Linked DNA regions of Arabidopsis thaliana. The protein of the gene in region 2 interacts with the protein of the main gene of each other region in a pairwise test. Each region holds a gene or a part of one and is shown on either strand. Other genes may lie near its edges.

What was found.
Region 1: the proteins of ZML1 (region 2) and AtPOT1a interact in a two-hybrid assay, tested with the Arabidopsis thaliana proteins (one study listed by BioGRID).
Region 3: the proteins of ZML1 (region 2) and SCL21 interact in binary tests that used the Arabidopsis thaliana proteins (3 or more experiments, as listed by UniProt).
Region 4: the proteins of ZML1 (region 2) and bbx23 interact in binary tests that used the Arabidopsis thaliana proteins (3 or more experiments, as listed by UniProt).

Annotation. Positions count from the first base shown.
Region 1 is NC_003071.7:1,888,077-1,896,583, reverse strand, and holds AtPOT1a (Nucleic acid-binding, OB-fold-like protein), read right to left. Parts: upstream 5,901-8,507; 5' UTR 5,340-5,900; intron 5,114-5,339; 5' UTR 5,034-5,113; intron 4,871-5,033; 5' UTR 4,771-4,870; coding exon 4,644-4,770; intron 4,510-4,643; coding exon 4,373-4,509; intron 4,301-4,372; coding exon 4,108-4,300; intron 4,003-4,107; coding exon 3,905-4,002; intron 3,752-3,904; coding exon 3,672-3,751; intron 3,531-3,671; coding exon 3,264-3,530; intron 3,160-3,263; coding exon 3,083-3,159; intron 2,976-3,082; coding exon 2,917-2,975; intron 2,836-2,916; coding exon 2,677-2,835; intron 2,595-2,676; coding exon 2,388-2,594; 3' UTR 2,070-2,387; downstream 1-2,069. Other genes in the region: AT2G05220 (Ribosomal S17 family protein), read left to right, coding at 1,405-1,827. UniProt on the Arabidopsis thaliana protein: Component of the telomerase ribonucleoprotein (RNP) complex that is essential for the positive regulation of telomere length. Binds RNA non-specifically. Binds specifically single-stranded telomeric DNA.
Region 2 is NC_003074.8:7,419,422-7,427,148, reverse strand, and holds ZML1 (ZIM-like 1), read right to left. Parts: upstream 5,114-7,727; 5' UTR 4,928-5,113; intron 4,328-4,927; 5' UTR 4,318-4,327; coding exon 4,024-4,317; intron 3,908-4,023; coding exon 3,815-3,907; intron 3,742-3,814; coding exon 3,608-3,741; intron 3,520-3,607; coding exon 3,388-3,519; coding exon of another isoform or gene 3,384-3,387; exon of another isoform or gene 3,017-3,383; coding exon 2,911-3,016; intron 2,784-2,910; coding exon 2,712-2,783; intron 2,614-2,711; coding exon 2,551-2,613; 3' UTR 2,244-2,550; downstream 1-2,243. Other genes in the region: ACA9 (autoinhibited Ca(2+)-ATPase 9), read right to left, coding at 22-92, 201-270, 355-444, 539-670, 741-853, 941-980, 1,077-1,379; AT3G21170 (F-box/associated interaction domain protein), read right to left, coding at 5,989-7,176. UniProt on the Arabidopsis thaliana protein: Transcriptional activator that specifically binds 5'-GATA-3' or 5'-GAT-3' motifs within gene promoters.
Region 3 is NC_003071.7:1,718,122-1,725,190, reverse strand, and holds SCL21 (SCARECROW-like 21), read left to right. Parts: upstream 1-2,586; 5' UTR 2,587-2,600; coding exon of another isoform or gene 2,601-2,691; 5' UTR 2,692-2,910; intron 2,911-3,291; 5' UTR 3,292-3,374; coding exon 3,375-4,616; 3' UTR 4,617-4,830; downstream 4,831-7,069. Other genes in the region: AT2G04910 (Carbohydrate-binding X8 domain superfamily protein), read left to right, coding at 837-1,211; AT2G04900 (uncharacterized protein), read right to left, coding at 1,585-1,684, 2,158-2,201, 2,286-2,366, 2,451-2,521, 2,601-2,691; ZAP1 (zinc-dependent activator protein-1), read right to left, coding at 4,972-5,455, 5,552-5,707, 5,811-6,634. UniProt on the Arabidopsis thaliana protein: Probable transcription factor involved in plant development.
Region 4 is NC_003075.7:6,367,232-6,373,250, forward strand, and holds bbx23 (B-box zinc finger family protein), read right to left. Parts: upstream 2,720-6,019; 5' UTR 2,296-2,719; coding exon 2,095-2,295; intron 2,024-2,094; coding exon 1,736-2,023; 3' UTR 1,598-1,735; downstream 1-1,597. Other genes in the region: ATHSP22.0 (HSP20-like chaperones superfamily protein), read left to right, coding at 3,306-3,893; AT4G10260 (pfkB-like carbohydrate kinase family protein), read right to left, coding at 4,255-4,389, 4,474-4,590, 4,669-4,803, 4,878-5,288, 5,363-5,539; AT4G10265 (Wound-responsive family protein), read right to left, coding at 5,995-6,019. UniProt on the Arabidopsis thaliana protein: Probable transcription factor that may be involved in seedling photomorphogenesis.

The DNA.
Region 1 (8,507 bases), on a different chromosome or scaffold from region 2:
TCATATCCTAGTATTGAATACATGAGTACAACTACAGAAAATAACTTTTATTTTGTTCCTATATATTAATTAAATTAAGCAAACGTTTTGTTAATTATGCTCAAACGTTTTGACATTCATTTATTAATTATATGTAATCAGATTAATCAAATATGATTAAGTTTTTAATAACTCTTTTGCATTTTATTTTGTTCATTGATAAAATAGTAAAACATTAAGTTTCAAAATTAAACCCTATACCTTAAACTTTCTTAAAACATATTTATTTATTTATCATTTAATAAAATAAATCGAAAACAAATAATCAAAAATTGAACCATATACCCTAAAAATCATATAGGCCTGGATTTCCGGTTAAACCCGAGTAAAGCAAACCGGAAGAACCGAATCATTGCGAATTGAAGTAGCAGAGAAGTAAACCGTTCGGAAAAATTAATTTGGGCTATCGGTATTCGGTTCGGGTCAGTTCGGTTATCAGAGTCCGATCGGGTTAACCTAAACCGAGTATTAGAAGCCCTATATAAGGTTAATGTTTCACCAACCCTATTTTCTCTACTTCTCTCCGCCTCTCTCGCATCTCCAAATCGAAATCGCTCTCTGCCTCTCTTCGTCTCCGTCTCCGTCTCCGTCTCCATCTCTGTCTCCGGTGAGTATTCATAAATCTGATCTCAGACAACATTAGATTTCGATTGTAAGTTCTTTAGGTCTGTAGATTTTGAGTAATGGGTTTGACAACATTAGATTTATATTGCCCACTCTCACTTGTTTGTGTTGATTACTGTAATGTTGAATTTGGGTTTCATCTACTAACTAAGATGAAATCAATTTGAGAAGACTAGTGGATAATAGTGAACACGTTTACATGACTTTTGACTTGATAGTTTGCTATTCTTGTTGTATCTGTGTGAATTGTTATAGGTTGCTTGATTTTGATGTTCATGTGTCAAAATTGATAATGTAGCTTTTGTATCTGATTAATTAAGATTCTAATGCAGTTGAGTTTTTGGTCTTAATATTAGGCATTGTATATTATACCAACGTGTGAAGAGGTTCTGTTGTTTTCTGAATTTCTCTTATTTTGTGTTTCATTCAGCAAAAGTGTGTCGTGAGTTGATATTCTTTTAGGCTGAATATAAATGTATGTATAAAATTTGGCTTATATTGTTTGATAAGAACACTAGACCTCTTTCAAGTTGAGCGTTATGTTGATGTATATTACTTGACTCATTTTCAATTCTCTTGACAATATTTGACATTGCATTTACATGTGGTTCCTGTGTTTGTTTAGTGTTCAACCTGAATGTTGAAGTTTAAGACATAAATCATCTATACTTGGTTGTTTCTTGATTTTGAATCCTTAATAAGACATGGAATTTCTCCTCTCATCAGGTAAGTCACTGAAAGATGGGGCGTGTTAGAACCAAGACGGTGAAGAAATCTTCACGTCAAGTCATTGAGAAGTACTACTCTCGCATGACTCTTGACTTTCACACTAACAAGAAGATCCTTGAAGAGGTTGCCATCATCCCATCAAAGAGACTCCGCAACAAGATTGCTGGATTCTCCACCCACTTGATGAAACGTATCCAGAAGGGACCAGTCCGTGGAATCTCACTCAAGCTTCAAGAAGAAGAGCGTGAACGCCGTATGGACTTTGTTCCCGATGAGTCTGCTATCAAGACTGATGAGATCAAGGTCGACAAAGAGACTCTTGAGATGCTTGCTTCTCTAGGAATGTCTGACACATCCGGCATCTCTGCAGTCGAGCCACAACAAGCTATGGCACCAATCGCTGCTTTCGGCGGCAGGGCACCCAGAAGATACTAAGATGGCCTCAGCTAATCATCAGCTACGATTGGCTCTCTTTTTTCTCAGTTAGGGACAAGAAAGACTTGTGTGGTTGTTTATTGTTTCTTCTGATTATGTCTTAAACTCAATGTGAGACTCTTTCGTATTAATGGTTTTTAAGTTATGTGGAACCAAAATTGGAGTTCAAACATTTGATAGTACCAATACTTTTTGCTTATCAGATCCGAGTTGATTCATGGGAGAGTTGTTGTATCAGCGAAGATTGTGGAGTTTTATGAAGGACTGTTAGTGAAACATTCCACAGGTCGAAACCATTTTAAAACTTTGAACAAGGTAGAGTTGTTCCACAATGAAAATGTGTATATTGCCTGCTGCTTCTATTAACTCTTTAGGTCTAGAGGAAGATATTTTTGTGTTCAGTCTTTGGATTTGGTTAATATCATGAAGATGTTCTTTTGGTTACAAGGTCTTCATGAACTAAAACAACACAACTACCATACTTAAGTAAGCCAAATCCAACATTCTTAACATGAGCCTAATACTAAACTATTTAATCCTCTTTTAACACTTACAAATACTTAATGAAGTAGTCTAGTACCAAAGATTCTGTATAATCTAGTATTCCACGGGTCAGCTTTGTTAGTATAGTAGGAGAGGATGCAGCACTCGATCCATGGTGGATTTCTTGGAGCCACAAAGTTCGAGCTTTCCCGTATACCGAGCAACCAATTCCGCTTCTTCCTCAGCGTCTCTGTGTCCTGAAACCCTAAACCCCAAAAGTACTCCTGCCAATAAAATCTAGATTAGGCTATCAGAGACGATCTTTGTTGACAGTTTAGATGCAAATAGACCAAATGGTGTATTTACTGCGTCTTTATTGCATAAGAAAGCCTCTAAAGTCGCTGTTGAATCCTCCAGTGTCAACAAAACTTGGTGGTGACGGCGATTCTCATCTGAACAGAAATCCTCTACTTGCCAAGGATATGCAGCTACAACCCGAACAATACATCTGTACTTGCATGTAACCTGTAATAACAACGTAGGCGATCACATAAAAGTATTCTTAATCTTTTCAGGGAATACAGCAAATAGATTCATGAATGGTACCTTGGGGAATGTTATGATGTCCATCAGTGTAACAAATGGGGCACAATTGTCATCTGTCTCTGCAAGACACCAAGAATGTTAAGGAAGTCTGTCTAAAGATTGACACAGAGAAAAACATTCGTTGAGATTAGATCCTGCTCATTAAGTAAAAGAGAAGTATTGCAACCTGTTAATCCAGGAGGTGACGGAAAACACCAGAATGAAATGTGTCCCAACTTTGATGATAGTCTCTTATCATATATCCTAGTTTTTGGCACATTAGATTATAAAACAAAATGGTAAGAGATTCTCATGGTATGCAAAAAGGTCGGAAGTAGTTACTGAAAGAAATATCAAGAAGTACAAACCTCATGATCTTTTCAACTAAACGATCATCTTGAGCGAGATGATGAACCTTTGTAGAGCTGGTAACTTTGATTACCCAAGATCCTCTATCAACTTCACAGAGTAAATGGTAAAGTTTCACCCAATCACCAGGTTTAACCCGATAAAATAGATGACTGCTTAGATGAACTCTCAAGATCGTTCCAACGGTTGGAAAGCTGAGCAGTACATCTCTTGACAGTAAAGTATGAACAGAGAGACTGCTAAATGCCTTGTCTTCTTCACTTCTCCTGTCGATAGCCAAACATTGTACACCAAATAGAAGAAGAGTAAGCGTAGGATATGGAAAGCGTAGAGTCAAGCCTAAATGAATGACTCAAAACAGATAATGTGAGGATTTAAAACTTTTTTCCTTCGCAGTTAATACTCACTTAGCCAGAATAGATGCTGGGGGTGCATCAGTCCCGTCCCAAACAAAAACAGCGCTAGTATCTTCATCGGCATGGAGAATCTCCATCACAAGAAACAGCAGGAAACAAGGTAGGATCAGTCAACAAAACATAAAAGGAGCCAAAAAAAGATTTGAAGTAACAATGAAGTGGTATAGAGGAATGAAGAGTTAAAAAGCTTTCTCACAGTTAATAGAGAGTATAGAGCATATTACCCTGCACACCAAATCAAAGCGTTTTCCTATCTTGATCTCTCTCAAGAAGGAAAAAACTTCGGAGCAAGGTTTTGTTCTGTAAGATATACTCTGCATAGCTAAGTACCAAAACAGTAAATGAAAGCTTATGAGAATCGTTCCAAGCTATCCAAAGCCATTATACTATATGCATAGTTGAAAGCAAAAGAAGCTCACAGTGTTACCTTTAATAACTTGGCTACAACCCGCAAAAACTTTGCGTAAATCATCCATGGCACTCTTGTATAATGCTTCTTCTTCATGAAAATTGGTACTACATTGGTAACAAACAAAATCCACACCTTCGAACAAGGCAAAGGAAGAAACCCATCTACTACAAGCAGCATTTACTCTTTCTCCACTATCAAAAGTTTGCATCTACACAATAAAAATCCAAACTTTATAACCTCCTGCACAAAACACAGAAGGAAAATGAAGAGGTCTTTGTACCTTAATGCGAGTAAACAGAATCATGTCGTCGTGGTTCTTGATTTGAGGAAGTTGTTCAAGAGTCTTACTAAATACATTAACAGTAAGTCCAGGACTTGGATACGTATCATCAATTATCCGTAGCGTACAAATCCAATCTAAGAAAAAAATCCAACTTTCAGATTTTGTTGGGTCAAATGTTAGGGCTTTCACAAAACAAACCAACTAAGATTCAGATTCAAGCAAAATTCTATGTATTTAACTCAAATTTTGGTTTTTTTTGGATAAGTACCATTGTTGCGACATTGTTTTGGTTCTCTTTGTTCAAGGACGATACCAATGAGACTGACTTGTTGGTTGATGAGTTTAATGGCGTCTTTGATTTTGATGAGCTTGGGACTCTCTCTCTTCTTCGCCATCTCCCGCTTTGCTACAACGTTTTTAAGTATTATCCTGACGTCACAAAATTAGAGAGTGGTAATATGTGGAATGAGTATCAACAGAACACTAAGCACCAACCTGCAGCCCATAGCCAATAAGTGGAGTGAGTATACATTGGAGGCAATAAGTGGAATGAGTATACATTGGAGCCAATAAGTGGAATGAGTATACATTGGAGGCAATAGAATAGCCATCAACGGAATGACAATGCAAGGATATCAAAAGAACACTAAGCACTAACCTGCAGCCCACTGGAAGTATTCAATGCAGAATCAGACTGAAGGCAAAAAAACTTTATCTTTCTCTCACTTGAATCATCCCCTGGATATAGCAAATTTCATCACAATGGTGAGAAGTAACCAAAGCTAACAAATGTTCCAGAATATGATCCTTCCCTTACATCAACCATCTCTCACAAGAAAATTCTTCAATCCACAATTTTTACTACTTTTATCTACCAAATCCTCAAATCCATTACAATGAACATAATCCCATGAATACAAATGATATATTTTGTTGTGATTAGATTTTAAAGGAATAAACTAACCTCAAGGTCGTATCTGTGCACATTGTTTCCGGCGACGACGATTGCCACCGGAATGAGACCTTATCAATGATCAATTCCGTTAGGTATCGAAATTAGAACCCCTTCATCAACGAACAACACTAGATCTCTCCAGTGAAACGGCCGACGCTTCTCGATCCTCTAACGACGCTCTCAATTCCACATTCTTCTCGCCGTTCTCCGTGAAGTTGCTTCTGTGAAGATTCACTAAAGTCCCAATCAATGTAATCGGAGAAATCTCCGACCAAATCGCTATCGCCAAAGAGACTGTTTTTTTTTTCTTGTTTCTTTTTTTTGCCAAAAAGTTATGTTATATATATCAACCCAGTGCATCATCCAATAATGGTGAACCTTGGAGAGGCCAGTACAAACAGGATACAGAGATAGAATTTTTACATATCAAAGACGTCTAAGTAAAGATAACAACATTTACGTTACAGTTAAGGTACAATATTGAACTACCACGAGCATCTCCAAGAGATACTCTATCCCTCAAATATAAAGTTTTAGGTTCTCTAAAAGATAATCCAATATAATTTAGAGCATATCCAAAAGATATTTTATATATAGAGTATGTAAACTTCAAATATAAAGTATGAGTAGTTTCTTCTCCAAGAGTATACTTTAAATATGAAGTTTCTAAAATATGTGTTTTGCATTATAGTCTTTATATTGTTCATAATTATTTTAAAACTATATAACTTTAATAATAACACTAAAACATACATTAAAATATTACACATAATCTTAATTAACAAAACAATACATTTATAAATAAAATACATATAAATAAAAATTAAAAATACATAAATTAACTTATAAATTACAAATTACTCAATAAAATTATTTTCGTAATGCTCTCATATGTGATCAATCAATGCATTACGAAGAGATAGATAAGTCTCTTTATTTTTAATCTGTAGATTACGAGTCAAAGTGTTGAAATATTTTGAATATATAAAAATTAAAGGACTAAAATGATAAGGGAATGTGACACGTTTAGACACTTTTAAAGAATTTTATTCCTTTTGAGGCACTTTTCAGGGATTAGGCACTTTGCCATCTTTTTGAGGAGAAATTGGACTAATTTACCCCTGAAGTAATGATGACACAATAATTATTAAACTTATTTTTGATGAGATCGTGTGGGTAAGAAACTATCCCCCTTTTATCATCTCTCTCTTCCATATTCTTTTGTTTTTCATCATTTTCAATCTCTCTTTCAAAATCATTGTCGTTCTCTATAATTTTTACAAAATCATGAAAATTATGAGGTTATCCTAAATTCACAATCAAAATCTATGTTTACCCTAATTTTTTTTTTTTTTTTTTACTTTTGTATATTTTTCTCCATTCGCTGGAAAACTTATGGCCACCACCATCGTTTCTTATCGAAGGATTATTAACATTAGAAATCCAATTCGCCGAAGATTAAGACAGAAAATATTGGTCTCAACTCAGATCACTAAGGATGTTTGAATTGGGGAAGAAGAAAAACTGAATCATTGTTTGGGAGAGGTAAGAGCATCTTTAACCAAATTTTATCCTCTCTCGTATTGGATTTTTACTTGGCTTTATCTGTTTCTTAAGATTGAATGTTAAATTGATAAATAGTAAGATAGGATTCAATCCCAAGTTAGGATCGATTTGACAAATTACTTGAAGAATTTTAAATTAAGTAGTTGACTCAATCCCAAGTTAGGATCCAGTGATATGAATGTTGTGAATTGACATTGAAATTTGATTTGTTAAAATGCATCTAGTTTTCCAGTTAAAATTCTAATACCCTTCTCTGGGAACACCTTGAATTCCTTGTTTAATTTTTGCTCTATTTCCAGCCTATAGATACGTAGTTGGTCTTCAAAAACTTTGGCTAACAATAACTTTGTGTTAATCTCTTTCTATCTCAAAAATGCTAGGGAAGATGTGATATTTGGTTTTATTGGAGCTATCGTTTCCCAACAGATACATCTTCCGGATCTAGAAATGATGTGTTTAGATCACACACCTATCCACACCTCTATATCCATATGACTTTTTACATTAGCTGCAATCACCAATTTGTTTTGACAATTTGTTCACATGTATATGGATACTCTTATCATTGCATAGCACTTGGCCACTCTCTTGAATTTGATGACGTTAAACTGATCATATGATTGTTGGCTTTTTAGATTTTAGATTTTGCTTGTTTATGGAATGTTTGTATCTTAGTTCTAACAATGTGGATGACGATAATGGAATGTTTATATGGATGGCACATTATGGATGACGCATCGTGGATTGTGCAGATTGTTATGATGAGAGTTGTGAATCTTTTGGTCTTACATGTTAAGAATTGGAAAAGCTATATGTGGTGCTTTTGGTACGATTGTTGTCCACAAAGTTTCATCCATCTGATTCTTAAAGAACATTTAGTCATTCTAAATCATTTAGATATTCTTTTTAAAGATATAATTGTTCACTGACGAGTGTCCAAACAATCAAGTCCAAATGGTCACCTAGTAACTCACAGTTTGTTTTATATCAATGCACAAATTTATACATGAACAATAATCGTTGATAAAAAATTTGTTGAACTTTTGGGTTCTTCCTCTATTTAACTTTTAGAGGTTCACTTCTCTTACATCTCTTAGTTCTCTTTAATGCTTTGTTTCACTCACTCATTTTAACTCAAGCACAAAAAGAACCTTCACTCTCATTCTCTCAGTCTTTGGTTAGTTTCTTGTTTTGACACGAAGACATAAAACGATTAGTAAGAGAGAGAAAAGTGAAAACATTAGTTGTCAACATTTTTGTATTGGATTCAAAGATAGATTCTTATTATAAGACATACACACACATATTCATACTAGTTTACTTCTACTAAGTACACACTTGCATTATGCTTCTACTTAGACCTAGACCTTACTTTAAGACATCATTACTCTAGTCTCTAAGGTATACCCAAGCTTACAAGCAAGGTTTACCAACAACTCCTACACAACAACAACTCTAACAACTCTTCACTAAGCTAAACTTTAACTAACATAACACACTTACTCATTTAGGCCTAACAAAACAATTAGCCCAATCACTTATTATTTCATCTTCTCCCATGCATATTCTTCTTTTGCTTGAGCTTCTTCTTCTTATTCATGTTCTCATTGA
Region 2 (7,727 bases):
CTAAGATGTTAAAGCAAGCACCTCTAGTTGTATATTTCTTTTTTCATCGTTGAGGTTTTGAAACTGGAGAGATTGGCGATAGTCACTAACAGCTGAAACAATCAAAAGATAAAGTGTAAAGAAAGATTTATCTTAAATGGATTAAGAGCAAGATTGAGAATGTTTTCAAGAATTTATCACAGAAAGAAACATGTATATACCTGTAACAACAATGACAAGCAAAACCGCAAAGGCAATGCTTCCACCATCAAGCCAACCTTCTTTCAAACCCTGATCATGAAGTAATAAGACAGAAAATTAGTACATTCCTGATTTCGAAAAACTAAGAACTTATCGAAAGGAAAGCATGTATACCTCTGTCTTTATTCCCAATGCCAATGATGTTACAGCCGCTATGATCAAGATGATGAGAGTTAAATCTTGCCAAGCTTCCCAGAGGAACATCTTTTGGACAAACAGAAAGTTGAAAAAAAACATATGAGTATCCACAAACCGATAAAAACACGGTCGAAGAAGTTGTAAAAGACTCTTTGCTTACAAAAAAGTTTTTCCCCTTCTTTTTTGGGTAAGTGTTAGATCCAAAAGCATTCTTCCTATCTATCACCTCTTTCTCATCCTCATTGATTCCTTGTTCCATATTTGACTTCAACTTCTCTGCAACACCTTTGACCTGAAAGATATATTAATGTCAGCATCAAGAAACCTTCCTATTTATGGAATGTGTGAGTCTTGAATCATACCCCTCCATATTGCTGCAAATTGGACATGTTCTGGTTCCTTGTCATAGACACAAGCTTTTCAAGATCAATGTCAAAGTTACCAGTAGAAGCTGCTGGTGTTGATGATCCAAACGCTAATTGATACCAAAAGAAACTAAAGATTATTCAACAAGAAACCAGAAAACAAAACAGAGATTTGCTTGACTTATAAGAGATCATACCAATTTGTTGTTCACCAGCCAGTTTAAAAAGCAATGCTGCCTGATTCATAAAAGTGATTTATCGATGTGAGATTCAATTAAACAAACAACATTGTTGTTGAAATGATAGGAAGAATTATATAAAGAAAATACATACCCTAATGACTTGAGCATGAGCTCTGATCATCCTCCTTCGATTATCATAATGTTCTTCTTTATTAAGATCCAAAGTGTATCGAAACCGACGCGATGCGTTCAACACAAGAGCGGCTTGTCTCCAACGACGAAGAGATTCAACAGAAGCGTTCTTGGTGTTATCAATATCAAAAGGATCATCAGGATCATGTTGAAGCTCTTCATGATCAGAATGTTCTTCAGTTTTAGCAGAACCAGCTTCCATGTCGTCATGACGTCCTGACATTGACGTCAGAAGCAATCCGTTGCTCGACGAAGTGCTCATTCTTCCTTCCTTCGTCTCACCCAGCTTTCTTCTTTCTTTTAAAATTCTATTGAAGAATTCGAAACAAAAAACGCAGAGAAAGAAAAAATAGGAACGACCGGTTTTATGATTTGGTCGTTATGGAGAAAAAAAATGATGGTGTGACGGAAGAGAGAAGGCCTAACTCGAGAGAAGGCAACAAAAACCGAAACACTTTCTCTCTTTTTTTTCTCTTACCTCTCTGTCAATCACAGAGAAAAAAAAGAGAAACTAATTTTTGAGTTTCTAACCAACATTAATATTTTGATTTACCCTAAAAAAAAACTATGAAAGAAAATGGAGAGAGGGTTCAAATTGAATGAGATCATTACTATTTTTGGTTTGGTTTGGCAAAATTTGTGGGAAGTTAGTTTTTTTTTGTTTCTTTTTATGGGAAAGAGAAGAAGAAAGAGTTTTTTCCGGGTAAGAAGAAGAAGAAGAACATGGTGGCATCTCTTAACATGGCATATATCTAACCATCTCATTTTTTAAAACAAAAATCTTTCCTTCTTCTCAGATCTAACTATGTTTTCGTTTTGTAATAAGTGGTATACCATTCATCTTTATAACTTATAAAATTATTCTAGTATTCTGATATACTATTGTTCACCTCGTATCATGTGAAGAATGGTACACTAATTATCTTCATACCTTAATCAGTTCTTTCTAATCAAGTTTCCAATAAAGATAATGGAAAAGAATAAAACAATGTGACAGAGAGAATAGTGAAGTTGCTGAGAAATTTCGTTTTAACCTGATGAACGTGTGTACGACATTAAGGTCACTTGGGTTGCACGACATAACCAATCATTGTTTCTATTTTTATACATAGATTGCATTATCTCTACTAAGTCTTAAATATTTAACTAATTGTAATCAAATACAAGAACAAAAAAAAGTTTTCTGCCTGAAAATATAATCAAACACACAGATGAGAGACTGAGCAAAGTTTTTTTTTTCTTTTCTGATGAGTGAGCTTCTAAATAAGTGAAGAGTGTCTTATAATTTGTAGAAGACTAAAATGTGCCCACATAGACTGAGATTAACCCAGAGAAACCCTAAACACAACTCAGATTCGATTCCATCATCAAATGAAATGATAACAACTGTTTTTGTTTGAGATCCTTTCTTGCTTCCAATGGTTTCTCAGTTCTCACTGTGTGTTGCTAATGTCACCAGTTACTTCCATCATTTGATCAGCCTCAAGATTTGCGTCCTGCAACAAAAGTGATTGAGAAAAAAAAAATGAATGTATGTTCTCTTAATAAGCAAATCAAAACTCCAGCTCTATGAAATACTGCGCTCACGGCTCACCTCATTCTTATTCAGAGATAGATGCTGAGGTGTTTGCGGAGGAGGGACTTTGGATAGGTCTCTAAGAGTCCCCTGATATTATAAAGTCAAAGGGAATGTTATTGTTAGGTTCATACTCGGATATATAGGCCTGATCAATGAGTCAAAAAAGTGATACGAGACGAGGTGATCAATGTGAACTAAGAAACTCTTAGCTTACCTTGTTTGCCCACATCAGTCCACACGCATTACAAAGTGTTCTTGGCCCATCAGGTCCACGTCGCATCATTGGAGTTGACTTCTCACTTGTTCCACAGTGTCGACATCTTAACATGTTCACAACCATTTGACGAAGAATAAGAACAGAGACAAGCTTTCCAAGTATACCAAGCTATAAATAAGTTCATATCAACTACAATGACTTAACATGCAACAACATAGTCGGTTCAGTTATTTTTATCCTCTCACAAGTATAAGTTATCAGTTGCAGGTATCGAATGAGTGATGCCATCATGATAAGTATAACTATAAATTTCAGAGTTGACGTATATAGACAAAGTTTATGGAAGTGAAAAGAGCGTCATTAAATGGTTACCAAATAAATTGTTTCCATGTATTAGACTTAATTGAGGTTTTATAACGAGTTCACTAAAGTTAATATAACTGTTGTAAGAAATTTAAAGCATTTTCAACTTACAAAACCTCTGGCTTCTGAGTCTCAGTCCCTTCTACGGCCCAGCTCTGGTTTGACCCCCAATCCGATCCAGTGGATCCAGAATCATCATTGCTTGATTTAGCCGACGTGAACTGACCTTTCTTACGCTGCATTCTGCATGAACAAACAAAACCTTAATTGCAAAACAGACGTATCTCAAAAGCTCGACATACACAAAAGCTAGTACTTGACATAAACGTACCTCAAGGCTACTTCTTTCCTGACTGTATAGCGAATAGTCTTATCAAAGTTCCTCCCTTTTCGTTTCTCCCTAAACCTGAGCAAAGAAGCTAACCGCTGCGGAACGCTAAGCCGTTGAGGAGTACCAGATAGACCCTGGTTCATTTATTAGTCAGCAACAAACTGGGGAATAAACTGATTTCCCATATGGTATTAAATCTTTTATTACCAGTACCCTATTGTTCTGATGAGGTGATCCTAGGGTTGTTGGGAGTGTATGTGGTACTTCCCTTCCACCAAGTAACAAAAGCACAGCTTGAACCTGCATAATATTGAGCAGCACTTCAATAAGCGAAAAACAAAACCAACCAGGTGGATACGTTGACCATATGTATCCAAAACTAAAACATCAAAGAACCAAAATTAACTTAAAGTTACCTTCTCAGGCGAGACACGGTCAAAAACATAAACTTGTCCCTGGAAGGACAATGTCAATTGATCTCCATTTTCAATTCCACGGTCTACAACTTCACCACGATTATCAGCTGAGTTTCCAGGGTGAGAAGGAATGTCTGTCTCCACTCCTTCATCCATCCCACCATCAGCATGGTCATCCATCATACTGTTTTCATTGTCGATATGGTGCAAACCGTGATCTTCATACTGCACATGCATTGGATTTTGCGCTACACCAATGTGCATTCGACCATTTCTTCCATGAAGATCATCCATGGTCTTTTTTCTGCAATTTGTTACCAATTACATCCAAAGGAAGATAACATTAATTAAGACTGGAACGTTCTTAATAACGAAAAAGCGAGATTGTCAGAGACGGTATAGGTTGAAGAAACTCAATAATGGTGGATATATTCTCACATAAATTGAGTTTGCAAATACAAAGAAACTATCTCCACCTAAGGGAAAGGAACTTCATTAATAGTTATCAGCACTGATATAGTACAAAGGAGCTTCTTTTATAACAAGAGTAGATGACAATAATCTAATCTCGAGTAAACAACAACTAACAACAGTCAACTACCTTAAAACGTAACAATATCTACCCAAATCCAGTAAAAAAAGTTTCATCAATCAGATTCGAATTGGAAAAAAAGTCTCCTTCTCTCATGCTCATAAGTCCTAAGCTAAGTCCCAACCTTTAAGCTAAGAACAAATAGACAGAACAATTCCAAATCCCACATATAAATGCTTCCAACTAAAAACCCTCCAAATTCGACAAGTTCATCTACAAACTAGAACCCACTACCTATATCATACATACAAAGACTTGTCACTTGGACAGGGCAATCAAAACAATAAACCAAAATTGACATCAAATGGGTACCTTTTGTGCAGAGGAATCCAAGCGAGAAGAATGAAGAGCCTTTGCAGAGCTAATTCACGCGAAACAATGAAAGATAAAGAGGATTTGATTATACAAAGAGAGAAAAAGGTTTAGGGAAAAATCCCAAAAGGGTAAACGGAGACGAGAGCGAAAAAAGGAAGCTCCTTTGATTTTTTTTTTCTTTTTTGGTCTAATGATTGTAGTGAAAGATTTTTCATTTTTCTTCAGCAAACGTCGTCGTTGTGATCTTGGGCCTTTTTTAGCCAAACGGCGTCGTCTTTGTGAAAGGCTTGACACTCCCTATTCTTTGGACCTCATCTTTAATTGGCCTCTATTTGAGTTCATATGTTTTTCTTTAGTGGTTTCAGGTTTGATCAAGATACACATTTACTCTTAATGATGCCAAAGATATAAAGACATTGGAGATGGTTTAAGGTCGCCAAGGTTTTTCACATAATTCTTTTAATCTCTTTTGTCAAGATATCTTTCTTTTACCAAATGACAATGTGGAATTACATTAGTTAATTCAATTTGTACCCATCTTTAAAAACTTCTTGTTGTTTTGGTTAGAAATCATATATAATTATAATATATCTCTACAAATAAACCATCTTAACACAAAATATCTTAAGTTAGATGGAACCACAACCAATTCTTCGGTGGAAAACAATTGACTCAACTATATCTAATATGTCAGATTTTAAAACTAAATTGCGTTCCTCTTTCATTTCTTAATTCCACAATATACAATTTTATTTTGATTTTATTTGCTTTTCCCTTATTCTTGCACAAAATTTACATATGTTTTGCTCTAATATGTTCTAAGCATTTCTAATTTTTTTCCTTTTCAAAATTTTGGTACTTAATAACTAATTGACCAATTATGAAAATGCCATGTGCCTCGAATTATCCACTAGCAAAAGGGTAGCAACAAGTTATAACTTAGAAATGCGTACATATATCTTACTTATAAAATATCAAGAGTTAGATTAGATAATGCATAGACTAGTGTGACAATTACAAGGCCATGCACTGGCTGACTTGGTGCCTCCTCCAAAGAACTAAATACCATGTTGAATTTGAACCAAACTTGGAACATATATGAGGAGACGTGGGGTAGGAGATAATTCATGTGTAGGTTTTGCACCATGATGATCCAATTCTATGAATTTATCATTTTCCACAATGTGTATGATGTCCTTGGAGTGCCGGTTGGGTCTATGACAAGAAACTACAACAATCTTCTCCTTAACTTGGTATGCGAAGAAACTCACCCCTTCCCTAAAATGACAACGATAGCGTAGACCAACTCCGCCCCGCAGTATTGGGAACTTGCTCCATGACATTGCTCTGGTGTTCTCACTAGTCTTCGTTGCTATCCATAAGTTAACGTTTGTTCCGGTTACGTATGTGTAATTAGTAGATAACATACAAAGTCGTTTCCCTTGTCTAGTCACTGATAAAGCCAAATGACTATCACCCTCTGGGAGAGACTCACTTCCAAATCTCTCTGTTGAGAAATCAAAACTTAGTAAGAATTGTTCACTAATATCAAACCAGTAAGTGATTCCATTTACAGACACGCCACTGGTGATATTTGGATTGAACAAGCCGGTGATCACACCAATACTCCTCCACGAATTAGAGTTAAAGTCATAGATTTCGTACTCGTAACGTTCTTGGCTATTGTTGATAACAAGATCCTCCCCCACGATGTTGTACACGTAACGTTCTTCGCTAGGATTGATAAGACGACCCTGCCTCAAGATTTTGTACTTGTTGCAAGAGGATCTACCGAGAGCATAGCAGTCATCTTTCTTGTAGCAAAATCTTGGTTGAATCCACCTTGTTTCACCTGAAAGCGGATTCCAAACCACCAGTCTATAGTCCTTGGTGGTGCATAGCAATAAGCCATCGCAGTGAAAGACGTGGCCTATATCGACTTCTGTTGAATAATTATTAGAAAGATGTTCTTTTAGGCTAAAATGACATGTTATGTTAACATATGGAGCAACGCTATTGTGAATTCCACGGAGATTGGATCTCACTGAATAAACCTTATGATCAATCAACACGAGAGCCATAGAGTGCCTTGGAGCATTAGAAGAGTGCTTCTTAGAAAGTTTCCCATCTTTGATCAAAGTGTTCCATCGTTTGGATGTTGATCGTAATCGTGCTAGAAATACAGCCGGAACTCTAGAGAGTATCTCCACTACCAAATCCTCCGGAAGGTCGTTGAACGTCATCATCTCTCACACGACTGTGATTAAACCAATTTTCAAAGAATCAAGATGGAGAGACGATAGAATCAAGATTTTTAATCTTCTTCTTTTTTTTTCTTTGATTTACTCTATAAATATGGGAAGATCATTTATATATATAGGAAGGAGGAGATCACGTAATTGTCTTTTATTTTATCCTTTACACTAATAAATATGGAGATTTTTTCTTTTTGTCCACACAGATTTTTAACTTCTTTTTTTCCTAAATTTAATTCTTACTATCTTTCTTTTTTCTCAACATTTATTTATCATTATTAATTTTTTCTATTTCTGTGGTTATAATTTTGTAACATTAAAAGCATATTCAATTAAAATTAAATGTAAATAATTTTATATAAATATGGGAAGATCATTTTTTTTCTTTTTACTTACTCAATAAATATGGGAAGATCATATATATACTTAATATATTTCTATTGTATAACTCAAAATGCTTCTAAGTAATAATTGACTTGTGGGGTTATATCTTTGAACATTATATATCTCTGCCCTACTCCTTTAATTTTTCATGAAGTCAT
Region 3 (7,069 bases), on a different chromosome or scaffold from region 2:
GCATCACCGATTTTTTAAAAACATTTATCTATTTATGACTAAGAGGTTCCGAGCTAAGCACATACATTCTCACAAGCTGGGAACCAAAACATTTTATTTGGTCTGCACATTCATCCTCTTAGGCGGGAACCAAACCATTTTAATTTATATGGTTCTCTCCCGAGTGCCACTCAAAAATGATCATGGATTGCGACCCTAGTATGCAATTCTGGCTAAATCCTTTGGTTTTAGGAGGCTTAAAGTTCTGCTTCCAATATTGTTGTGTTTCAAAGTTGGTGGTGCAATAAATTTCACCTACATATCTTGTTTTACTCATTTGTTATTTTTGGTGCACATGCAATAAAGATTAGATGTTTCACTTTTCTCTTCTTCTCCAGCTAATGAAACAGATATTATATTCAAATGTAGAACTTCAATAAGATATATGGTATTAAAATTACATCAATTTGGTAATTGACATTATCCATTCTGAAACAAAATAAGCTATATATGATAAGCTTGACCACATTCCATATAACATAACTCATATATATTTGAATCAAATTCATAGTCAACAAAATTTGGCAGTTGATATGACTTACACCTAAATATAAGATCTTACATAATTCATTCTTTATTTTGTTGGTCAGAGTATAATCCATTCTAAACACAGAATACTAACACTATAAAATACTCGAGTTATAACCATCTTTAAGCTCTCAAACAGTTCAACTTGCCTCTTGTAAAAGATGAAAACTTTTTGTTTAGGGATAGCAATTGCTCTACTTTTCATAACAGTAACGTTTTCAGGTACAATATTATTGTAACATACACATAATCTCAAAGATCTCTATAACATGGGGTATCTTATTTTTGTAGCGAAAGCGGAGTTCGGACAATGGTGTGTAGCCGATGGACAGATACCAGATAATGTGATACAAGCAGCCGTAGACTGGGCTTGTCAAACAGGTGGAGCAGACTGCAGTACGATTCAGCCTAACCAGCCTTGCTTCTTGCCCAACACTGTCAAGGACCATGCCTCTGTTGTCTTCAATAACTATTACCAGCGTTATAAGCGCAACGGCGGTTCCTGTAACTTCAACAGCACTGCATTTATCACACAAACCGACCCTAGTAAGCAACTTTATCTAAACCCTTTTTGTTACAGTTATTTAAGCTCTTTGATCAATCAAAATCTTGAACCATCTGTTTCTGATTATCTCATGATTTGATAGGTCACGATTCGTGCCATTTTGAGTATGTGCCATTTTGAGTATGTCCAATGATTCAAAGGAAAGACCAAGATGAAATGAAAGATGATGAATTATACTACCGGTGAACAATATAAACAAATCTTTGTTGGAACTTGGAAGTTCTTGTAATGTAGAATTTTGATAAATTGTATGGTAATAAGATTACATTAATATGGTCGTCATTTACATAATCCCTTTAGCAACAAACTGAACAAGTAAAGGAAGATGCTTAATGGTTGTCGACACAGAATTGTTATTAAGCAATCTCTTAGGTAAACAAAAAAAAACAGTGAGTTCATATGTAGGATAAGCTTGACCACAAACTTGACAATATAGATGGTTATGAGATTGTTTAGAAAAGTAAAGTTGCCCATGCAGCAATGAACGCAAAGCCTCCGAATGGTGCCAATGTCGAAAACTTTCTGTCCTCCCGCAGCGCTACCATATAACACCTGCAACAACATTTCAACACACATGAAACTTCTCACATACTCATACCCGGAAATAGACTATTGAACACAAAACTAAAGTTATCTACTAAGCATCTAAAATATAGTTACTTCTCCAAAGAGCATACCTTCACATATCAAAGGAAGTACAAAGGGGACAAATACCATTCATTAACTCAAATACAAAGACCTATGCTATTAAATAAGTGATACAATGGTTTCCAAATGCTTCAGAGTTGGACACATGTCGAAATCGATAAAATCTCCCTAGCCACGAAGAATTGTGGCAAGTATTGCTACTGCTAGAGATTAGATATGAATTCTAGAAAGTCCAAATCATATCTAAATAGCTCAAATATCCATGAATGCACTACTATAACCTCAATGACAAGACATCCAACAAACATCTAGCACAAAAGCTCTACCATACACATCTCAAACTGAAGAATCTGAGAAACAAAAAGATAACAACTTACGTGCCGGAAAAGGCTACAATTCCAGCAGTCAACAAGCCACCAAACTAAGCAAGAAAAAGATATGTCAGCTCCATCAACTCTCAAAGGACAAAGATTAGAGAAACAGAGTACAAGAAGAGAAAGCTAACAATGTTGGGATATTTGGTGCTAGGAGCAGAAACAAGAGCAGCAGTGTGAACCAAATGGTAAAGTGAAGCCGTTTGCCACACCTGAACAACAACAAAAAAACCTAAACTTTCTCACAGAAATCCAACAAAGTATCGAATTTTCCAACAATTTTCAAGAATCTAAACCTGTTTGTAAGAAGGGTTCTCTGGTTTAAAGACATGAGCACCATAAGTTCCCAAACCAAGAGCAGCCATACCTAAACCAATTCTATCCGAATCAGTACCTTTCCTCACAAGATCAAAATCAAAAGATCATTACTTTATCTTAAATCTCACCGGAAATAGCGGCGACTTTGTGCCACATCCGAGGATCCATCGATCGTCGTCCTCTGATGTCTCTTAGATTGCTTCTTACACTATTTCCCATTTGACCAGAGACTTTAAGCGAGATGTGTCAAGTCGGTGATCGGGTCTTATTCGGTTTAAGCCTAAAACGACGTCGTATGTGATGTGTTATTTTCTTCACTACAGCAACTAAAAAGATTCTTCCTTTTGCTTCAGCTGCGAGCTTTGGTTGGATCTCTCACTTGCAAAACCAAATCCCTTATCGACTTCCACCGAAAGATCACTTCTTAACCTACACAAGGTTTGTTTTTCTCATAAAAATCAAACCTTTATTCTCTTTTCTTGATGATTTTGATGCTCTGCTTCTTCTTATCCACAAAACATGAAAACATTTCTTCTTTGATAAGTTTGATGTTGGTTTGTTGTAAATGATTGCTCTTTCTAGCAAGCTTTACTCTAAAGTGTGAAGAGAAATTGTCAAATTAGTTTGTTTAGGATTGGAACTCTTGTATGCCTTGTTTATTGATGAAGTAGTTCATGGCTGACGTAGATTCATAGAGTCATGAGTTGATTTCAATGATACTAGAGTTCTTGTTAGAGTTTTGATCTCCATGGATATTATTGTTCAATATTGATATCTAATTCAGTCTCTGATTAATGACTTTGTCTATGAATTCTACAGGTGTTTGTTATGAAGATCAGATAAATAAAAGGTCATTTGAGGATAATGGTTGATGTTCAAAGATTCTTACTTGCTTATTTGTGATGGACAATGTAAGAGGTTCAATAATGTTGCAGCCACTGCCAGAGATAGCTGAGAGTATCGATGATGCTATCTGCCATGAACTCTCCATGTGGCCTGATGATGCTAAAGATTTGTTATTGATAGTGGAGGCAATATCAAGGGGAGACTTGAAGTTGGTACTTGTTGCTTGTGCAAAAGCTGTTTCTGAGAATAATCTTCTAATGGCACGATGGTGTATGGGTGAGTTGCGCGGTATGGTTTCGATTTCTGGTGAGCCAATCCAGAGATTGGGAGCTTATATGTTAGAAGGGCTTGTTGCTAGGCTTGCTGCTTCTGGTAGTTCGATATATAAGTCTCTCCAGTCCAGAGAACCAGAGAGTTATGAATTTTTATCTTATGTGTATGTTCTGCATGAGGTTTGTCCATATTTCAAGTTTGGATACATGTCAGCGAATGGTGCGATTGCAGAAGCAATGAAGGATGAAGAGAGGATTCACATTATTGACTTCCAAATTGGACAAGGGAGCCAGTGGATAGCACTTATCCAGGCTTTTGCAGCTAGGCCTGGTGGGGCTCCAAATATTCGAATTACCGGAGTTGGTGATGGATCTGTCTTGGTTACAGTCAAGAAGAGACTAGAGAAACTTGCAAAGAAGTTTGATGTTCCATTCAGGTTCAATGCGGTTTCAAGGCCAAGTTGTGAAGTTGAAGTGGAAAATCTTGATGTCCGAGATGGCGAAGCCCTTGGAGTGAACTTTGCTTACATGCTGCATCATTTGCCAGATGAGAGTGTAAGCATGGAAAACCACAGGGACCGGTTGCTGAGGATGGTGAAGAGTCTATCACCTAAAGTAGTCACTCTTGTGGAACAAGAATGCAACACGAACACTTCCCCTTTCCTTCCTAGGTTCCTTGAGACATTAAGTTATTACACGGCAATGTTCGAATCTATCGATGTTATGCTTCCGAGAAATCACAAGGAAAGGATCAATATCGAGCAGCACTGCATGGCAAGGGATGTCGTCAACATCATAGCTTGTGAAGGAGCCGAGAGGATCGAAAGACACGAGCTTCTCGGGAAATGGAAGTCAAGGTTTTCCATGGCGGGTTTTGAGCCATACCCCTTGAGCTCAATCATTTCAGCCACCATTAGAGCCCTCTTGAGAGATTACAGCAACGGGTATGCGATTGAAGAAAGAGATGGTGCTCTGTACCTTGGTTGGATGGACCGAATCTTGGTCTCATCTTGTGCATGGAAGTGAAAGAATAAACGTCTCCAAGAATGTAATGCAAAAGACAGAACTGGAAGTAATAGATAGTTTTGTCTCATAACCATTAATAAGGTTGAATCAAATCATATACATCCCCATGCTACAACTATTACACAGGCTCCATCAACAAAGAAGGGCTCTTGTTGTGTTACCTTCTCTTCCTGTAACTCTTATTTGAACCAAATGGAAGTGGTTACATAAAGGTATTAAAGCATACTATTCCATTAAACACTAATCTAAATCTGGTCCCGCCTGAACAACAACTGTACAGTCTATAACCATATCGCCTGTACTAATCTATGTTAAAACAGCCATATAAATTACCACTCGGTACAACACTGAATGCTTAGCTTTGGGCAGGCTCTGTCTTGGGTTTTTGTTCCTCGCTCTCCAGGGTTCCTACTGCCTTCTCTTGACAAACAGTGGTTTTATCATCTGACTTTGCTTCCGGCTTGGCGTGATTGGCTGCGTGATCTTTGTTTGCATCTGATCTCTCTTTTATTTCCTCCTTCAGCTTCTCATCCAAAACTGGACCTTGATCAAGACTTTTCTCAAAGCCATTAGTCTTCGTTTTCTTTCTTAAGTGATCTTCGACATGCTGGTCTTTTGTAATGGATTGAAGAGTTGAGCTCTGTGGAGTCTTGTTGGCATCTCCTTCTTTATCATCAACTTCCGAGTCCAGCATGTTATTATGAGTAACAACTCTTCCTGGAGGCATATCGTGGTCGTGTTTTCCCTCGTAAGTTGTTATAAGCAACTTTGTGTCATGAGATGACCTCTCTACGTGTTTCTTGACGGGGCATCCAGGGCTTGAACATCTATAGTAGCTCCTAATACATAAAACATCAAATGGAGAAAGAACGTGAGCAGCGAAGAATGAAACCAAAAGTTTGACATTATATTTCAAACATGTAAGCAGTCACTACCTTGGATATGGGCTGCCTTTTACTGATTTCTGACCATATTTACGCCATCGGTACCCATCATTCACAATATCAAACAGAGTCTGAGTGTGAACCACAATGCGTGAATCATTGGTTGACCTCTCCACTGGACTCAGCTCAATGTTCCCTCCTTTCTTCCTGATTTAGTGACATCAACATAAGAAGAAAAAACAAGGAACACCAATGGTGAAGTCTTCCTCCAGAACCATGAAAAACAAACCGACATATCAATCATCAATACCTTCGCTTTGCGGTAGGACTATTATAATCCTTGTGAGTGTTGTCCCCCGTTATCCTACTTGATTGTGAAATATCAGTTTTCACATCATCAGCTGGTGGAATAACTGAAACATGTAATCCTCCATGGATCTTTGGTGGTTCGGTTTGACGAAGTGTCTGAACACTGGATCCAGATGTTTTCTCTACAAACATGATATCATAAGAAACAATGCACAGCTTATAAATTAGAGAAACTATATCTATTCTTTGTTCACCTTTACTAACAGCTGTGAAGACATCACTTCGCTTATCCTGATTGATAGGAACAGCACCAGCAAGAGGCTTTGGGTGATCATGTTCCCCAAAGTAAACGGTATCCACGACTTGTCCACCCGCAGACCGTTCCAACTGTTTTTTCGCTTTGCAGTTAGGGTGAGTGCACCTGTAATAGCTCCTTACAAACTCATTTCCTTTCACAAGTTTCTGTCCATATTTCCGCCAGTTGTATCCGTCTTCCATAACCTTCTCACGAATAAAAGGACTATTCCCTTCCGAACCAGACTGCAAAGATAATGCACCGCTACTTTCAGAAACCTTCGGTGCTTTCTCGGATACCGGGGAAGCAACATCTACTTCCGACTGCGAAGCTACCGTATGTGGAACAAGTTTTTCAAGCTCCTTACAGTCAGTAGATTCCAAACTTTCAACAACGGTTTCAGTTCTAGTTACAGCCACTGGTATGACCTCCGCTTTATCAGTAGTGGCAACAACATCATCCACTGCTTTAGTCTCATTTGAATGGTCTAACTCCATATCACTAGCCAGAACTTTTCCCACCTCAGCCATAAATACTAACAAACTCAAGTAAACTCAAAACCGGAGAGACTCGAGCTTAACCCCAAATATATCTAATTCCCAAAGCCTGAAGGAGAAATCAAAACAAACAAAAACCAAATCATTACAGTGAATTCACACTAAATTCCACAGAAACAACAATTAGGAATAAAATGTTGCAGAATAACCACTAAAAGTCTCCACTTTTGGGAAATTTCTATATCAATTACAATCTTAGTAAAGACTCAAAATTGATTAGTCCTATGCTTCACCAACGATCTTTAGACTCAAGTACTTTACTTTGAAACAAACAAAACCCCAAAATTAAAGCATTTGCTAAAATCTTATAACCAAATTACATAAAAAGTCGGCAAATTTGTTCCATTTACTACGGAGTTAAGAGACGACCCAGTAACAAGATTCGCATAAAGATTCAACATTTAATAC
Region 4 (6,019 bases), on a different chromosome or scaffold from region 2:
TTTAGTTTTTATGTTTGTGTGGTTTTAATTTTTTAATTATGTTATAAATGTATAATTTATTTTATTGTATTTTCAATCAACTTCGGTATTAGTTTTAATATTTTCTACTAATCCATCATTTTATTAAATTAAAGATTACAAAAATAGTACTTATAAATTATTTTTTAGTTACAACCCTTAGTTAGATTACTTAAATCTCATTACAAATCATATATAATCTATTATAACTAAATAAGCTATTTTAATATATAATAATGTTAACACAAAAGAAAAAATTATTATTTTAATATTTGCCGTGGCTACAGTAGTGCATCAAATATAGTGTTACACTGTACAAAAAAAGAGAATCACACTATTATAGTGCAAATTATACCGTCTGATTGGAGTGAAAAAGTAAACATGCCCACGTTATTTTAACGTTTTCCCGTGGCGTTGGACTTGGCCTTAGATATAAATGAACTCATGCCAGAAAATATTAAGTTACGTACTGTCAATGATTGAAAGTGAAAGTTTTGTTTGATCAAGAATCAGGGAGCAGTCATCTATTTAGTTTTCCTTGACTAGCATTGTAAAGATCATTTTTCAAGAATTTGATGTTCTTTCTGATTAAAAATCTTATACCACTAGGTTTGGAATATTAACAAGACTACAAGAGTCTAACATCCCATTATGAATCAAACTTTTTTTCCAGGTTTATTGTACACTATAGAGAACTTGTTCAGTAATCAATAGTCTTGTTTAGGTATGAAATATATGACTTTACCCCTAATTCGTGGAGATTTGTTGGTGAAGATAGCGACTGGTTCATACCACGGACCACGGTTAAAAGAGCATGTCATGTCTGTAAATGGAAATACTTACTGGCTTGCTTGCACGCAAGACATAGAAAGTGGGGAATTCTTACTTTGTTTGGATTTTTCAATAGAGAGATTTACAAGTGTGTCTCTCCCGGGTGATCATCCTTTTTATCATCATCCTATCACTTTATCAGTGACTAGAGAAGATCAAAAATGTTGTATGTTAGCTACTCGTGGCATGCGAGTAGGCGATATAGATGTATCATGTAGGGATTGCAACTAAGATTGACGGTACCGGAGCCGCGTCATGGAGAAAGTTTCTACAAGCCTTTTTGGTTTGCTAGTGGGATAAATTTTTGGTCGACCAGGAGAACAAAGTTTTGGTGTGTCGTGGTAAGCATGGGGTCTCCAACGTTTTTTTACACGTTGTGGGAGAAGATAAATGTATACAATTGGATCATGATGAGGAAGAATCTCAATGGTCACTTCTTAATCAGTTATGTTCCAACGTTGGTTCAAATCCAACAAGGTCTATAGTTCTTGTAGTGAGGCAAAAAGAAAGTACAAGAGCTAATAGTAGTAATCTATGACTGTCTCATTAAGTTATGCATTTTCTATCCAAGTCTTGATATTTGAGATAAATAATTATATTTAATCAATAATTATTTATTCATTTTTTAAATTTTGTTTATATATCTAAGATCGATTCAAATAGTATTCACATTTCTACAATTCTTGAAACTATTGGAACAACTTAGCTTTGGTTGTGTCGATGCCATGACCACTGACTTTAGTTGTTAAGTCATGGTTTTAATATTTGTTGTAACAAAAAGATTTGATTCCTCAACAAGTTTTTCTTCTGTGTAAGATAATATATTACAGAAACTTTTATTATTAAACATCAATGGCTCCGGAACCATGATGTTGTGTGTATATCTCTAAGGACTTAAGATTACAGAAGGATTCTTGTGTACTATCTCACCTGAGTTTCCAGCTTCAGTTTCCTCACTAGAGTACTGACTATTCAGAGACACTTTTGACTGAATCTGGTAAGTTTCAGAGCTAAAACTAGTGCTGCATTCGGAGTTTTCAGTCAAAGACTGATCAGAAACTTGTACTCCAGAAAGTAAGAATCTTTGGTGAGAATTGCAAGTGTGAATGGCTTCATCACAATCATTGCACAGCATTGCTCTATCCTCTAAGCAGAAGAAGTACCCTTTTCTCTCCTGCATATACATATATATGAGACATCGGTTAAAGAGCTCAGCGAGTGTTTAAAGAGAAAAGAGATTGGAACCTGGCAGATATCACATAGAGGAGCTCCAGAAGCTGTGGTGGCTGAGGCTGCATCTTTTTGTAAGGCGACTCGGTGATGTCTTTGGAAAAGTTTATTAGCTTCATGAACCTTAATGTCACATGGCTTGCATAGTACAGCTTCATCTGAACAACAAAGTACTTCTGCTTCAGCCTTTTCACACACTTCACATTGTATCTTCATCCTTCAACTTTATAATCCAAATCAATGTAAATTGCCAATACACAGACAGAACAAATGTTCTTTGACATTTATGAGAATTAGGACAAGGAGTGAATCTAAATATAGGAAACAAGAAAGAACAAGCTTAAATAAGTTCACATGTGTGGTGGGATCATAAGTTATATCAAAACCTGGCTCTGATACCAAGAGGAATTGATGATCTTTATTCATGAAAAGAGAGAACTATATATAGATATACAACGATATGTCGAAGACGAAATTTTTATCTCAATATGGGGTTATTAGACCAACTTTGGGTGGCATTTAAACCAATAAATGTTCTCCTACCAAAATCTCCATGACAAGATCTTTTTCAGAAGCTTGTATAGTTTTACTTTCTTTTGAAAACATAAATTGACAAACATAGCGACAAGCTTCTCTTAAGACACAAGCATGGCAAGCCAAAAGTAAAGGCAGGACCACAATATGCATAAAGACTGTGGAATTAAAAGTAACTAGCCATAGGGCAATAGAGGTCAAAAACTCTAAAATGTTGTCAGAAACTGAAATGGAGCATGGCATCATTCAAACTCTCTCCCATTCCTTTCCCATGCAGCAGCCAAAATTCTAAGACTCATCACAAACAGAATTGGTCCCAAATATCATAATGGGCCAATAAAAATAGGCCTGGATATAAATAACTATTAAGGCCCAATCCAATCCATAGTTTTTACATGAAGTCTCTGGAACATGAGAGAAGACCCTTAAAGGCACAACAAACTTATCCAACGTGTAGTAACATAATTAGTACAAGTCACAGCCAAAAAAGCTAGAACAATCTCAATATCTCTCTCTGCAAAACTCTACCAAAAGAAAGATATTTCAAGAAACTTCTTCATTCTTCATACAATGTGTATTATATATACACCAGAGAATTGAGACTAACCATCATAGAAAACAAAATAAGAAAGTGAAGTTAAAAGCCTAAAATTTTGGTTTCAACCTTCTACAATAAATCCAAATCACTAACCATGATGAAGCACTTGCTAAGCATCTTCTTCATAGGAGCTTTGTTGCTTGGAAACATCAAAACAAGTGAAGGGTCTTTGTCTTCTGCACTTGAAACTACTCCAGGCAGCTTGCTATCCGATCTCTGGCTAGACCGGTTCCCTGATCCATTCAAGATCTTGGAGAGAATCCCATTAGGACTCGAGAGGGACACAAGCGTGGCTCTGTCTCCAGCAAGAGTAGACTGGAAAGAAACAGCAGAAGGGCATGAGATAATGCTCGATATCCCCGGTTTGAAGAAGGATGAAGTAAAGATAGAAGTGGAGGAGAACGGAGTTTTACGAGTCAGTGGAGAGAGGAAAAGAGAAGAAGAGAAGAAAGGAGATCAATGGCATAGAGTGGAGAGATCATATGGAAAATTCTGGAGACAGTTCAAGCTACCTGATAATGTAGATATGGAATCAGTCAAGGCCAAGCTTGAGAATGGTGTGCTCACTATTAACCTCACGAAACTATCTCCTGAAAAAGTTAAGGGTCCAAGAGTTGTTAACATTGCAGCTGAAGAAGACCAAACTGCAAAAATCAGCTCTTCTGAATCCAAAGAACTCTGATATTGAAGAAACTATATATTACTTTCTGAGTCTGAAGAGAGTTATTATAAATCCAAGAGTTTTGAGTTTCATATTGTGTAAGCTAAATGGAGTGTCATGTTTTGTAACCTATCTACCAAAATCTCTGTAACCTTCTCTATATGCAATAAAATGTTCATTTCTTTATATTATAGAGCCTCTTGATTATTTGTTATAGAACATTAGTCATGTAATTAAAAATCAAGGTATATGAATTAGTTTGGAATCAATTTTGGCAGAAACTTGAAACTAGATTTATTCAGATAACAGAGAAAATACTCTGTGAAAACCAAGGAAATTGACAAGAGTGAAGAAACAGAAACAGAACAGAACAAGATTGAAACTATTTAGACTTAGATTTCATGAGCTTTTGAGCATCAGCTGGAGTGGGAAGTGCAGGAATAGCTCCTTTCTGAGTAGTACACACTGCTCCACATGCATTTGCAAAGGCAAGTGCTTCCTTCAGCTTCCCTTCATCCTGCAACATTCACATTACTCAATCACCAAAACTCAATTTCATATGCCTTATCTATGAACTGAAAACGTCTTTGGTTATACGTACATCGAGTATGGAGCCATCTTTTCCCAATGAGACAAGAAATGCACCAACAAATGAATCACCAGCTCCAGTTGTGTCAACTGCTTTCACAGCGTATCCAGGCACTCTCCCTTTGAATTTCTGCGCTTTTCGACAGTCGAAAAACTTTGTTTAGATAACTCCAAAACACACACAATCATGTCGAATTTGATCCCTTACCTTTGTGTAGTATCTGCAACCTTTCTCTCCATCAGTAACAATAAGCAGCTTAAGCTTATCATGCATAAGAGACAAAACAACATCATCCTTCTCCGCATCTCCACGCGTTAGAAACGTTACCTCATCATCGCTTACCTACACATCACGAAACTCGAACACTAAGATCATCGAAAACACGAGTCCGGTTGTTACAACAAAAACAAACATACCTTGATAATATCAGCCTCATTCCAAATACTTTTGATGCCTTCTATAGCAGCTTCAGTAGAAGGCCAAAGAGGCAACCGAACGTTCGGGTCATAAGAGAGTAAGACTCCCGCATCTTTAGCGGTTTTCATCGCAGCCATGTGAGCTGTTCTACATGGCTCAGAGATCAAGCTAATGGAACCATAGTGGAAAATCTTAGCTTTCTTGATAAGATCCTTGTTGAGTTCAGATTCTTTCAAGAGCATGTCCGCACTAGGGTTCCTGTAAAACATAAACTCTCTCTCACCATCTTTCTTCAAAGTCACAAAGGCCAACGCGGTTCTTGCATTGGTATCAAAGCAAACACCTTCACTGTTCACACCGTTCTTCTTCAATATGTTAACCAACATGTGTCCAAACTCATCATCACCAAACTATAAAAGACATTACACAATCACATATCACTTTTCACCATCAGTTAATAGATTCTAACATAAATTATACAAACCTTGCCGATGAAAGCTGATTTGCCACCGAGTTTGGTGATGGCACAAGCAACATTAGCAGGAGCACCACCAGGGGCTTTGAGAAAACCGGTGGACTCAGCTAAAGAAACACCAGAAGTGTCAGGGACAAAGTCGATAAGCATTTCACCAAAGGAAACTATCAATGGAGTATTAGCCATCTTTACTCAGACAAGAAATGTTCACACACATAAACCAAACAAAATTAACCTCTCTTTATTAAGCTGGAGAATTAGCAACAGAACTGCATGAAAAATGGGATAAGCATTTAACAAAATCCCTAACTTGTAGTAAAAACTCAGTACAAACTTTTGACTGTAACAAACCTCCAATTTAGGGTCCTAATTATATCAACAGAAATAAATCTTTGTCACACACAACGTACCAAATTCTCTGTATTTATATTCAAAGTTTAAGTCTTTCTTACTTAGTTGCAGTAACTGAAAAATCCGATTTGAACAAATCTTATGAAAAGAGATTAATCATTAGTTCAAGACTCAAGAGTCACTTTACAGAGCAAATTCTATACATTTTTAACCTTTTTAAGGGTTTTAAACCCTAAAAGAGACATTATCAAAACTCTATGATTAGGGTTTTCAAATCCCTCCATTGTCCATTAACTAGGACCCCAACAGCTCAAG